Arabidopsis thaliana: one gene and its partner. Each later gene encodes a partner of the first gene's protein in a complex. Each region holds a gene or a part of one and is shown on either strand. Other genes may lie near its edges. The genes, in order: BGLU22 and JAL33.

Region 1 (5,960 bases):
TAACATGTTTACAAGTAATAATAAAAAATATAATTAGATGAAAGCATGGGTAGTTTAGGTATTTGTATTATTACAAATCATTTGGATGGAGATAGAGATAAGCAAACGAACATCTCATTCGGATGGTCCAGTCAAATGAACCGACTAAAAATGAAACGAACAAGAGTTAAATAAATCATCCAAATAGACATGTTGAATGGATCAGTTGGATGGATCTATCAAATGTAGAAACGAACAGGGCCTTAAAACCTTGACCAAAGAAATCTTTGTAATACCTGGCTGATTGTTTCTCATAACATTGAGATTATTTTTAAAATTGACGTAGTAGAATCCCAATCTGTTATATTAGAACCATCTTGCTGATATTATGTTGTGTTCATTTTTATGTACATTGTCTTATCTTATCCGATATCAAATTATGTAACTTGATTTTATCTAAATTGTTTGGAAAGATTAATCTCAAACTTGTAGCTACGGTGTGACATCTTATCCGATCTCAAATCATGGTGATTTTCTAAAAATGTTAAACTATTTCCATTGTTTTATTTCATCGCCAAGCGGTTTAAGTTGTTGAAGTTATTAGTCATTAAAATATTTGCACGATTTAGTTGTTAAGACGACGTCTAGTTATTGCATAATCTATTTCTTTAAATAGAGGTAAATTCGTATTTTCAATATTTTAAAAACTATGATATTTTTACTTCATATTTAAAAACATCAGTCCTTTTGTAAATTTAAGACTTTTTTTAATATATATAATACAATATTTCTTCATGTTTTGAAGGTAAAGATACCTTCATATAAGGATAATATATTTATACTAAAGCATTCTTGATCATGTCAAATAAGCTAGAAACTGAAGGAATACAAAACACTTTTATTATTATTAACCAAGACTTCATGAATCATGATCAATCACAAACTAAAACATAGGAAAGAAGCATTGAACAGAAAACCAAATCCTCAAAATATAACTTAAAGCTCATCCTTCTTGAGCGCGGATGGACGAACACCTTGACCGAGGAAATCTTTGTAGTACTTGGCTGATTCTTTCTCATAACGTGTGAGGTTATTTTTGAAATCGACGTAATAGAGTCCGAATCTGTTATTATAACCATCTTGCCATTCAAAGTTATCTAATAATGACCATACAAAGTATCCCGTAACTCTCACTTTGTCAATGCTGCACATACACAAATTTTCTTGATTAGATCATTCCATAGAATTGTTCTCTAAATAAATAAATAGTAAACGGTTACCAAATAGCTTCGTTCATAGCTAGAAGATGCCTCTGAAGATAGTATTTCCTGTTATAATCAGCAGTACCAACCTCAACCGAATCTTTGTCCTTAAGTTTATCTCCATATCCTAGAAAAACAACAACATTAAGATGAATATATATTTTAACTCCAAACTAAATCAACACACAGTAACCATAAATCTCGAGTTACCATTTTCCATGATCATAATTTCCGGGTTTGCGTATTTATCTTTGATGTACTTTAAAAGACTTCTAAAACCTTTAGCGTAGACGGGCAATGCAGCGGTAAGAGGCTGAAAATAAAACAATGGTGATAGATGTTATGTCGTTGAGAGAAATATTTTAATTGTTTAGTTGTTAAAACAATCTCAAACTAGGACTAGTTTAGTTTAACGCATACCTGGCTACCAATGGCGCTGTGATCTACATTCTTAGCTGAAATTTAAAAGTGAAAATGTATACATATCAATTAGTATTATAAAGAAAACATTTTCTCTTAGTTTCTTGGTTTGGTTTCATGTAAGGAAAAAAAAACTTACGTTCCCAAGCAACAAGAGAATCTTGCTTCCAACTTGGTGTAGACGGATCTGGCTTTTCATTATGGTTTGAAAATGTTGAAGTATAGTAGTTAAGCCCTACGAAATCGGTCGAATCTTTCAATTTTGCTTTTTGTGAAGAAGTGAATTTGGGCAATCTGTGACCAAGAAGGTCTTTCATGATTTGTGGATAATCTCCAAAAGTAGTTGGGTCTAGATGCCTACAAATAATAATCAAAACTCCATCAATTATATGAAATTGTATACAAGACCCCATTTTATCAAAGTATATACCTACCATCCCAACATAAAGTCAAGTACACGGCTAACAGTTGGAACGTCATTTGAATCTTTAAGATCATGTGGTTCGAACCAAGCCGGACTATGTGCGATTCCAATTTTCCCACCTTTAACCTACAAAATGTCCATTAACACAACACAAAACAAATTATATTCATATCCAAAACCTGATAGTTAATTTTGATATATATATCTAATGTAAATTACCTTTTGGCGGAAAACTTCAACAGCTTCTGCATGAGCGTTGAGGAGGTTGTGACTAACTAGATAAGCCTCATAACCTGATCGTCCATCTCGGTCTTCACAACCTTTAAGGTAGCGAGAACAACGTCCTGGCGCCTTCTTGCCTACGTCGTAACCTGCATGAGCGAAGACCCATGGCTCGTTGAAAGTGATCCAGTTTTTCACTTTTCCACCGTATTCAGTGAAAACATAATCTGCATATTCTCGGAAATCTTTCCTGTATTTTTGCAAAAAATGATATTAAACTAATAATTTCCATATAAAATTTAATTAGATGTATTTTGTTTCAATTTACAAAAACATACACAATGTTCTCGCTTAAGAAACCGCCATATTCGTCTTCTAAATCTTGTGGAGTGTCCCAATGGAAAACAGTCACAAACGGAATTATACCTAGTTACAATGTAAAAATAGATAGAAATGTTAAATAATGATACTATATTTCTTGTCTTTTTTAATTAATTAGTTTATATGTATATAACCATTTTTAAGGAGCTCATCGATCAGGTCGTGGTAGAATTTCACACCAGCTTGACTCACTCCCTTCTCCTTTCTCCCATCTAAAAACCCGTTAGTTTGTTTGATTAGTCAATAAATGTAAAATTCATTAGTTATTGATTTATATATCAATTCACCAAATTCGATTACTAAATCAAACTAGAGATCTGCAGACATATACTCACGAGGAAATATTCTTGACCATGCGATTGAGAGTCTGAATGCGTCTGTGTTTAGATTCTTCATTAGTTGAATATCTTCCTACAAACATTTTTAAGACGAGACAAATTTTCAATAATATCTCGTATAATATCAGCAAACTAAAAGTATAAAATATAAGTTATATTTGTCTTAAAATTATATTAATATATACCTTAAATTTATATTAATATATACCTCAACTTTATATTAATATATTATATATACAGTGTGGCTCCTCTCAAGGGTCTAACCATTTCAAAGTTTTGTAAGCATCCTCTGAGTTAATTTTCTCAAAATTCTTTTCAAACAAGAGGCACTTTATTGTAAAGATGTTTTTTTTCTTTTGAATATACTTTAAATTTAGATTCAAAATACATATATATATTTACCTTATAACGATGGAAGAAATCAACGGCCACATCGGCGTTGTGGCCACTACATCTCTCTGTAATTTAAAAATAAAAAGTGAATGAATTTAGATATCTAAAGATATTGTATAGAAAATATAGATTATACACTCACCTGGATTTCTCTTACAGAAGATATCCCATAGAGCAGGTCCACGACAAGTTTCATTAATTGCACCTTCAACCTAATGACATAACGAAAATAGCTGATGAGTTGAGGTAATAACATATGTTTGAATTCAGCATTTGGACTTAGGCTTGAATTTTGATGGAGACACAACACTAATACATATTTTTGAAGTATAGTGTAGTAAATAATTCATTTTGATGTCTCACAGTTTACCTGAAACGCAGCAGTAGCTGTGCCAAACACAAACCCATTAGGGAAACTTGCTCGGCTTAGTTTGGACGTCGTTGGGCACACAGGATCATCGACGGCTATTGTCGAAGAGACGACAATGGTTATGAGAAAAAGAAGCCCCAGGAGAGGGAACTTTTGCAATGCCATGGTTTCTAATTTTTGGTCTTTTGGAAGAGAACAAGTTTGTGATGATTTGTTTACATCTAAACAGAGTTCTTAATTATATAGTGATTTTGATTGTTTGGTAATGACAAATAAGTCACTAAACTATATTTGTTTAATAAATTTATTTTATATATAGGTGTGTTCTTACTTATTTTTCAAAGTTTGGAACATATTATATTACGCGTGGAACATATAATAAAAACGTGCCTTTAAATAAATAGTGTATCCTATCAAAAAAAAAAAAAAATCGTGTATGTCCTATAACTGAAGTCTTCATCTATTGTTGCACCTTCGTCTTAATAATATTTCTCGTGTTTAACGAGCAACAATATTAACATTTAATCTTCCATAATCAACGGATCTCTCATTTAATGTCTACTTTCAAATATGCAACCAGATCTGTTTTACAAGAAAAGAAAAAGATATGCCAACAAGGCCTCGTTAATCATTTTCTTTAATTTTCTATAGTAATGATCCAGATCGAGTTTTTGGATCTTACTTTAGGTATTATTGACGTTTAAGATATTAATATTTATTGAATAAACTTTCATTTACTTATCCCACTAAGATAGTATACAATTATTTAACTATTGTATACGATGGTGGTTAGGAGCAACGTGTCCCCATGAGAAACTTTTGCAATGACATTTTGGTTTTTAGTTTTCTTTTTTTTCTTTTGTCTTGATTAAGAAAACAATTTTAGGATGGTTCATTTATATGTTAGTGTCGTTTTTTATAGCGATACTGATCTCTCATTAATGTCTTGTTTTTAATATGCCACAACCAGGCCTCGTTGATAATGTTTATTTTATTTTACTATATAGATAGATCTAATCATCCAAATGGTGTTTTCGATCTTATCTTAATCATGATTATTATTGACGTTTTCATAACTTAATATAATCTTTCATTATTGGTTTCCGCTTGACTATTATTTAAATAGGATGATTCATTCGATGAGAGATCCCGGGTGACTAAGCTAAACTATACAATTATAAATAAGAAAATCTAGTGTATGACCTATATCTTCAAAATCTTGAACCTGTAGTAGTCGTCCTGATCATAGGATACATTGGTAACTTATGGACCGTAAAACCTAAGCAAAAGACCTTATAATGGTTATCAAACAAGTTATTAGATATCAAGACACAACCTCCAATTAGACTGGGAGTTTGGAATGAGTAATCTTCGGTTTCGGACAAACAATTGGTCACATTCTAGTCGCATGCTGACTGCTGTCAGGACAGTGCGGTAAAGCCTAATTAAGATCAACGAAATTTAGGCATCAAAATTAAAATATAAATGTGGGGCAACTTTTTTGCCCAAAAAAACACAAATTGGGGTAACTATTATTCACCAAACATTTTTCTTGGTCGATCAATTGGTGGTGTAATTGATTATTTTTCTTTCAAACAACTCAATGAGAAAGTCCATTTAGATTTGGAATGACCATTTCTCAAAATGCTACACTTCATGGCCTTTGTGATCGAGGACATTGAAAGCTACTATTTACATGATCAGAAAATCTGGTAAGTTTACAAGTCCATATATATGTCAAATATTGTACCTTGGAAGAAAGCAACTTAAAAATATGTGTATTCCTCTTAGCTGATGCCCTACCAAAGCACATTGCGACTCACTACTCTCGTCTAGTCGTCATAGAAGAAGAATACACTGCGACTAGTTTTTTTTGCTCTCCTAAGAATGAAGAAACGGTTGGTACAATCTTTTACTAACTATGGCCAGTTCAATTACTTACCCTTGGTTACTTCAATGATCTGGATCAGTTAAGAGTCTTTGTGTATCTTTATGGCGTAGTCAAGGAAATGGAAACTTCCAATTAAATATAAAACTATTAAATACTAAAAAATAAAATAAATTCGACATGTGTCACGATTAAGCAACAAATATATATTAAATGTGACTGAATGAAAGTCGTTGTATAACTCCAAAATAATGAAGCTTCCTTATATATCATTAAAAACACA
Region 2 (4,292 bases), on another chromosome or scaffold:
TGAGGTTGATGCAGACGACTACATCGTAGCAGTGCAGGTGACCTATGACAAAATATTTGGCTATGACTCCGACATCATCACATCCATAACCTTCTCTACATTCAAGGGAAAAACCTCGCCACCCTACGGATTAGATACCGAAAATAAGTTTGTACTCAAGGAAAAGAACGGTGGCAAACTTGTTGGGTTCCATGGACGCGCTGGCGAAATTCTATATGCTCTTGGAGCGTATTTTACTACAACCACAACTCCTTTGACTCCTGCCAAGAAACTACCGGCTGTTGGTGGTGACGAAGGAACTGCCTGGGATGATGGTGCTTTCGATGGTGTTAAGAAAGTGTATATAGGGCAAGCCCAAGATGGTATATCGGCCGTGAAGTTTGTGTACGATAAGGGCGCCGAGGATATTGTAGGAGATGAACATGGAAATGATACTCTACTCGGATTTGAAGAGGTATAATACTTCTTGCTTTCTTCTCTTGTGGTTGAATGTGAAATGTTTTTACAAAATGATATGAATATCTTACACAAAAATATGCTTGGGTAAGGGAATCCACATAAACTTTCGTGGATAAAATCATGCATATTTTATATTAGCTAGTGTTGAATATCTCCATTTTTGATATAAAATATTTTAACTAACTCAATTGTTTTATTTGGTTTCCATCAATTGCAGTTCCAACTTGACTATCCAAGTGAATATATTACTGCAGTTGAAGGCACATATGACAAAATATTTGGTTTTGAGACTGAAGTCATAAATATGCTTAGGTTCAAAACTAATAAGAAAACGTCTCCTCCCTTTGGAATTGAAGCTGGCACAGCCTTCGAACTCAAAGAAGAAGGTTGCAAGATCGTCGGGTTTCATGGAAAAGTAAGTGCGGTGCTTCATCAGTTTGGAGTCCATATCCTTCCTGTCACCAACTGATCATCACATATATATATATATATATATGTCTCTTCTATACCACCAAGTTTGTCACGTGTGATATCTTCATTAAGTTTTAAGTTTTCTAATTTTTCTTGTTCTGTTTATCTATGTTTTAAGTGTCTTTAAGTATGGTGTTTTGTGAAGTTGTTATGCCTGTAATATTATATGTGATTGGCTTTAATAAAAGTGGGTGATTATTATACATATCAGTTGCACATTAGGAGAAAAGCTTATATTCATACTCAGTATCTCGGCATCTAGTGTATGATGGAAACAATTATCTTTAAGACTTTAGCATTATTTAAAGTGAGAAACAAGAAAACTTCGCCATAATTGGAGAATTGGTCATTTTGATCAAAATCCAACACCAGACTACGCGCAGTCCGTTTCGAAGGAGGTACACTCCACTTAGTATCTAGATTTAATTTATTATACAGTATGTTTAATTTTTTTTTTTTTTCAAACACATATTTTTCTTCTTAAGAATATATATGGAAATATAATATGTTAATTATGTAATGATCAAATAATATTAAAACACACATATATATATATATATAAACCATATGAGCAATTGGATAACGGGTAAAATCTAACCAGGTTTCAAAAATTGTAACTATTGTTGATTTTTTTTTTTTTTTGATCAACAACTATTGTTGAGAAAAACATGTATTATGTGAGCAAAGGAAAAAAAGGGAAAAAAAACTACAGATCAGTAATATCAACTACTCCAATTCAACTTATTTGCTTCATATTCACAACATTCTAATATTTTAATGACTCGTGGATCACGAGATTATATTAACATTTCTATAGATTAATTAGTGGCCTACATTCAATGATATCAATAATTACACATTTTATCCAGAAATAAAAATAATCAATAAATACGCATGAAGGTCATTGTAATGCATATCAATAACTCGTTCCCTCTCTCCTCAGGTAAATTCTCAGTCTCTCGTCTGATAATAGTTTTGTAGAGTTTGGTTAATAAAACTAATCGTGTACGCTACTAATACGTACAGGTAACTAATTAATATTCAAAAAGATGGCTCAAAAAGTGGAAGCAGGGGGTGGCGCCGGAGGAGCTTCATGGGATGATGGTGTCCACGATGGCGTTAGAAAGGTGCATGTAGGGCAAGGCCAAGATGGTGTGTCATCTATCAACGTCGTGTATGCGAAGGACTCTCAGGATGTTGAAGGAGGTGAACACGGAAAGAAAACGTTACTTGGATTTGAAACGGTATGTAGTGGTGTTTGCTACCACTCTCTTTGAGTTTAACTTATTAGCCTTGTTCGGATCAGTTTTAAAGCTTTGTAAAATGAGAACCAATTAAGACTAGACCAATTCACACCTAATACGGTCTAGATTGAGTTAATCTATACAACATCTCTACTCACGAGAGGTATCTTTTCGATCATTGCAGTTTGAGGTTGATGCAGACGACTACATAGTAGCAGTGCAAGTGACCTACGACAACGTGTTTGGCCAAGACTCTGACATCATCACATCTATTACCTTCAATACATTCAAGGGAAAAACATCTCCACCCTATGGATTGGAAACGCAAAAGAAGTTTGTACTCAAGGACAAAAACGGTGGTAAACTTGTTGGCTTCCATGGACGCGCTGGTGAAGCTTTATATGCTCTTGGAGCATATTTTGCTACAACCACAACTCCTGTGACTCCTGCCAAAAAACTATCTGCAATTGGTGGTGATGAAGGAACTGCATGGGACGACGGTGCGTACGATGGTGTCAAGAAGGTGTACGTAGGACAAGGCCAAGATGGGATATCAGCCGTTAAGTTTGAGTACAACAAAGGCGCGGAGAATATCGTAGGAGGTGAACATGGAAAGCCTACTTTACTCGGATTCGAGGAGGTATTTTTTGTTTTTGCTATCAAAATTCAAAATATGTTGTATCTTTTCATTTTCTTAAAACTAATTGACAGTAAGCAGATTGATCTATATGATTTAAAATCCTTTAATTGCAGTTTGAGATTGACTATCCAAGTGAATACATCACCGCAGTTGAAGGCACCTATGATAAAATCTTTGGGAGTGATGGCCTAATCATAACTATGCTTAGGTTCAAGACTAATAAACAAACGTCTGCTCCCTTTGGACTTGAAGCTGGCACAGCCTTCGAACTTAAAGAGGAAGGGCACAAGATCGTTGGCTTCCATGGAAAAGCCAGTGAGTTGCTTCATCAGTTTGGAGTCCATGTCATGCCACTCACCAACTGATCACATTACAGCTACCTCCTTCGCTTCCATCGAACTTGTTAATGTGATCTCTTGAAAATAACTTGTTATACCTATGATGGTTATGCCTATCTATGTTTAAATGTTTTTAAGCGTTCTCTTTTGTGATGTTGGTCTTTATATAATGTTACGTATGATAGATTTGAATAAAGGTGGTTGATTCCATCCCTATAAATTGCACATTAAGTCCCATCGTGAACAACGTTCGATCCATACTAAATTAAGTTACTGCAAGTGTGTTTAGCGTATTCAGATTAACATTTTACTGAATTAATTTTGTTTTAGGTAAAGACCCGCGAATATATGTTTAATATGTTTAAATGAAGTCCAATTATTACATGGGGACTATAGATCATATAATCATAGATTAAAGTTCATTATTGTTTAGGTATAAATAAAAGTTTTTTGAAAATAGTATTAGGTTTTGTAAGTAAAAATTGGTTAATTGGGTGGTCATGATCATACTGATAAAAAAATGAAAGTATATGAAAAAAGGATTGTTGGAATGTATTAATTTGGCTCGGCTTTGGCAAACCTGGGATAGATTGCGTCCTAACTTTTAGTGATTTGGCATTTAGGCCTTACCAATCAACTGATCCAGCCCATGTAATGCTAATCTTGGAATTTTCCCTTTTTGAAATTCAGTTTGCAATATATTAATCTTGGATTTTTCCATCTTTCTAATTGATTTACAATATTTTTATATTGGATCAGCCGCGTAAGGAGGAGATCTGATCTGATCTGATCCACACACGTCTCACGAGTGTAGTAGGCTCGACGTGCTCAAACTCAAAGTGTGATAACGTATTTTTTAAGCTTAAAAGAAGTCATCATTATTGTTATCTGTCTCAATAGAAATAAACGCCACGAGATCCACGAGTCGCATTTTTTTTATTTTGCCAAAAGTCAAAAATATGTTTCCATATATATCTTCGGAAATTAAGAAGAATTAGATTTTAATCTGCGGTATACCGCGGGGACAATTTATCTTTTTAAAGTTAGTATAATTTTTTTTTGCAAATTATATCTATTTATAATATATTTTTATTTTATAGTTTACAATTATTATTAAGTAACGTACTGCCAAACCCGTCC

Evidence for each region.
Region 2: BGLU22 (region 1) and JAL33 share a complex: the UniProt entries of both Arabidopsis thaliana proteins name them as parts of the PYK10 complex.

What each region holds. Positions count from the first base shown.
Region 1 is NC_003070.9:24,705,784-24,711,743, forward strand, and holds BGLU22 (Glycosyl hydrolase superfamily protein), read right to left. Parts: upstream 4,214-5,960; 5' UTR 3,955-4,213; coding exon 3,790-3,954; intron 3,632-3,789; coding exon 3,562-3,631; intron 3,485-3,561; coding exon 3,429-3,484; intron 3,100-3,428; coding exon 3,024-3,099; intron 2,901-3,023; coding exon 2,823-2,900; intron 2,734-2,822; coding exon 2,646-2,733; intron 2,558-2,645; coding exon 2,305-2,557; intron 2,212-2,304; coding exon 2,096-2,211; intron 2,019-2,095; coding exon 1,801-2,018; intron 1,697-1,800; coding exon 1,662-1,696; intron 1,555-1,661; coding exon 1,452-1,554; intron 1,369-1,451; coding exon 1,260-1,368; intron 1,184-1,259; coding exon 976-1,183; 3' UTR 729-975; downstream 1-728. UniProt on the Arabidopsis thaliana protein: Beta-D-glucosidase active on scopolin >> esculin >> 4-MU-glucoside. No activity with DIMBOA-glucoside, pNP-glucoside, oNP-glucoside and sinigrin as substrates.
Region 2 is NC_003074.8:5,586,614-5,590,905, forward strand, and holds JAL33 (Mannose-binding lectin superfamily protein), read left to right. Parts: upstream 1-1,678; 5' UTR 1,679-1,873; exon of another isoform or gene 1,874-1,956; 5' UTR 1,957-1,979; coding exon 1,980-2,174; intron 2,175-2,358; coding exon 2,359-2,814; intron 2,815-2,927; coding exon 2,928-3,179; 3' UTR 3,180-3,472; downstream 3,473-4,292. Other genes in the region: MLP-300B (myrosinase-binding protein-like protein-300B), read left to right, coding at 1-454, 677-928. UniProt on the Arabidopsis thaliana protein: Sugar-binding protein showing significant affinity for (Glc alpha(1-4)Glc)(3) maltohexaose, (Glc alpha(1-6)Glc)(3) isomaltohexaose, Gal alpha(1-4)Gal beta(1-4)Glc, GalNAc alpha(1-3)(Fuc alpha(1-2)) and Gal beta(1-3)(Fuc alpha(1-4))GlcNAc beta(1-3)Gal beta(1-4)Glc.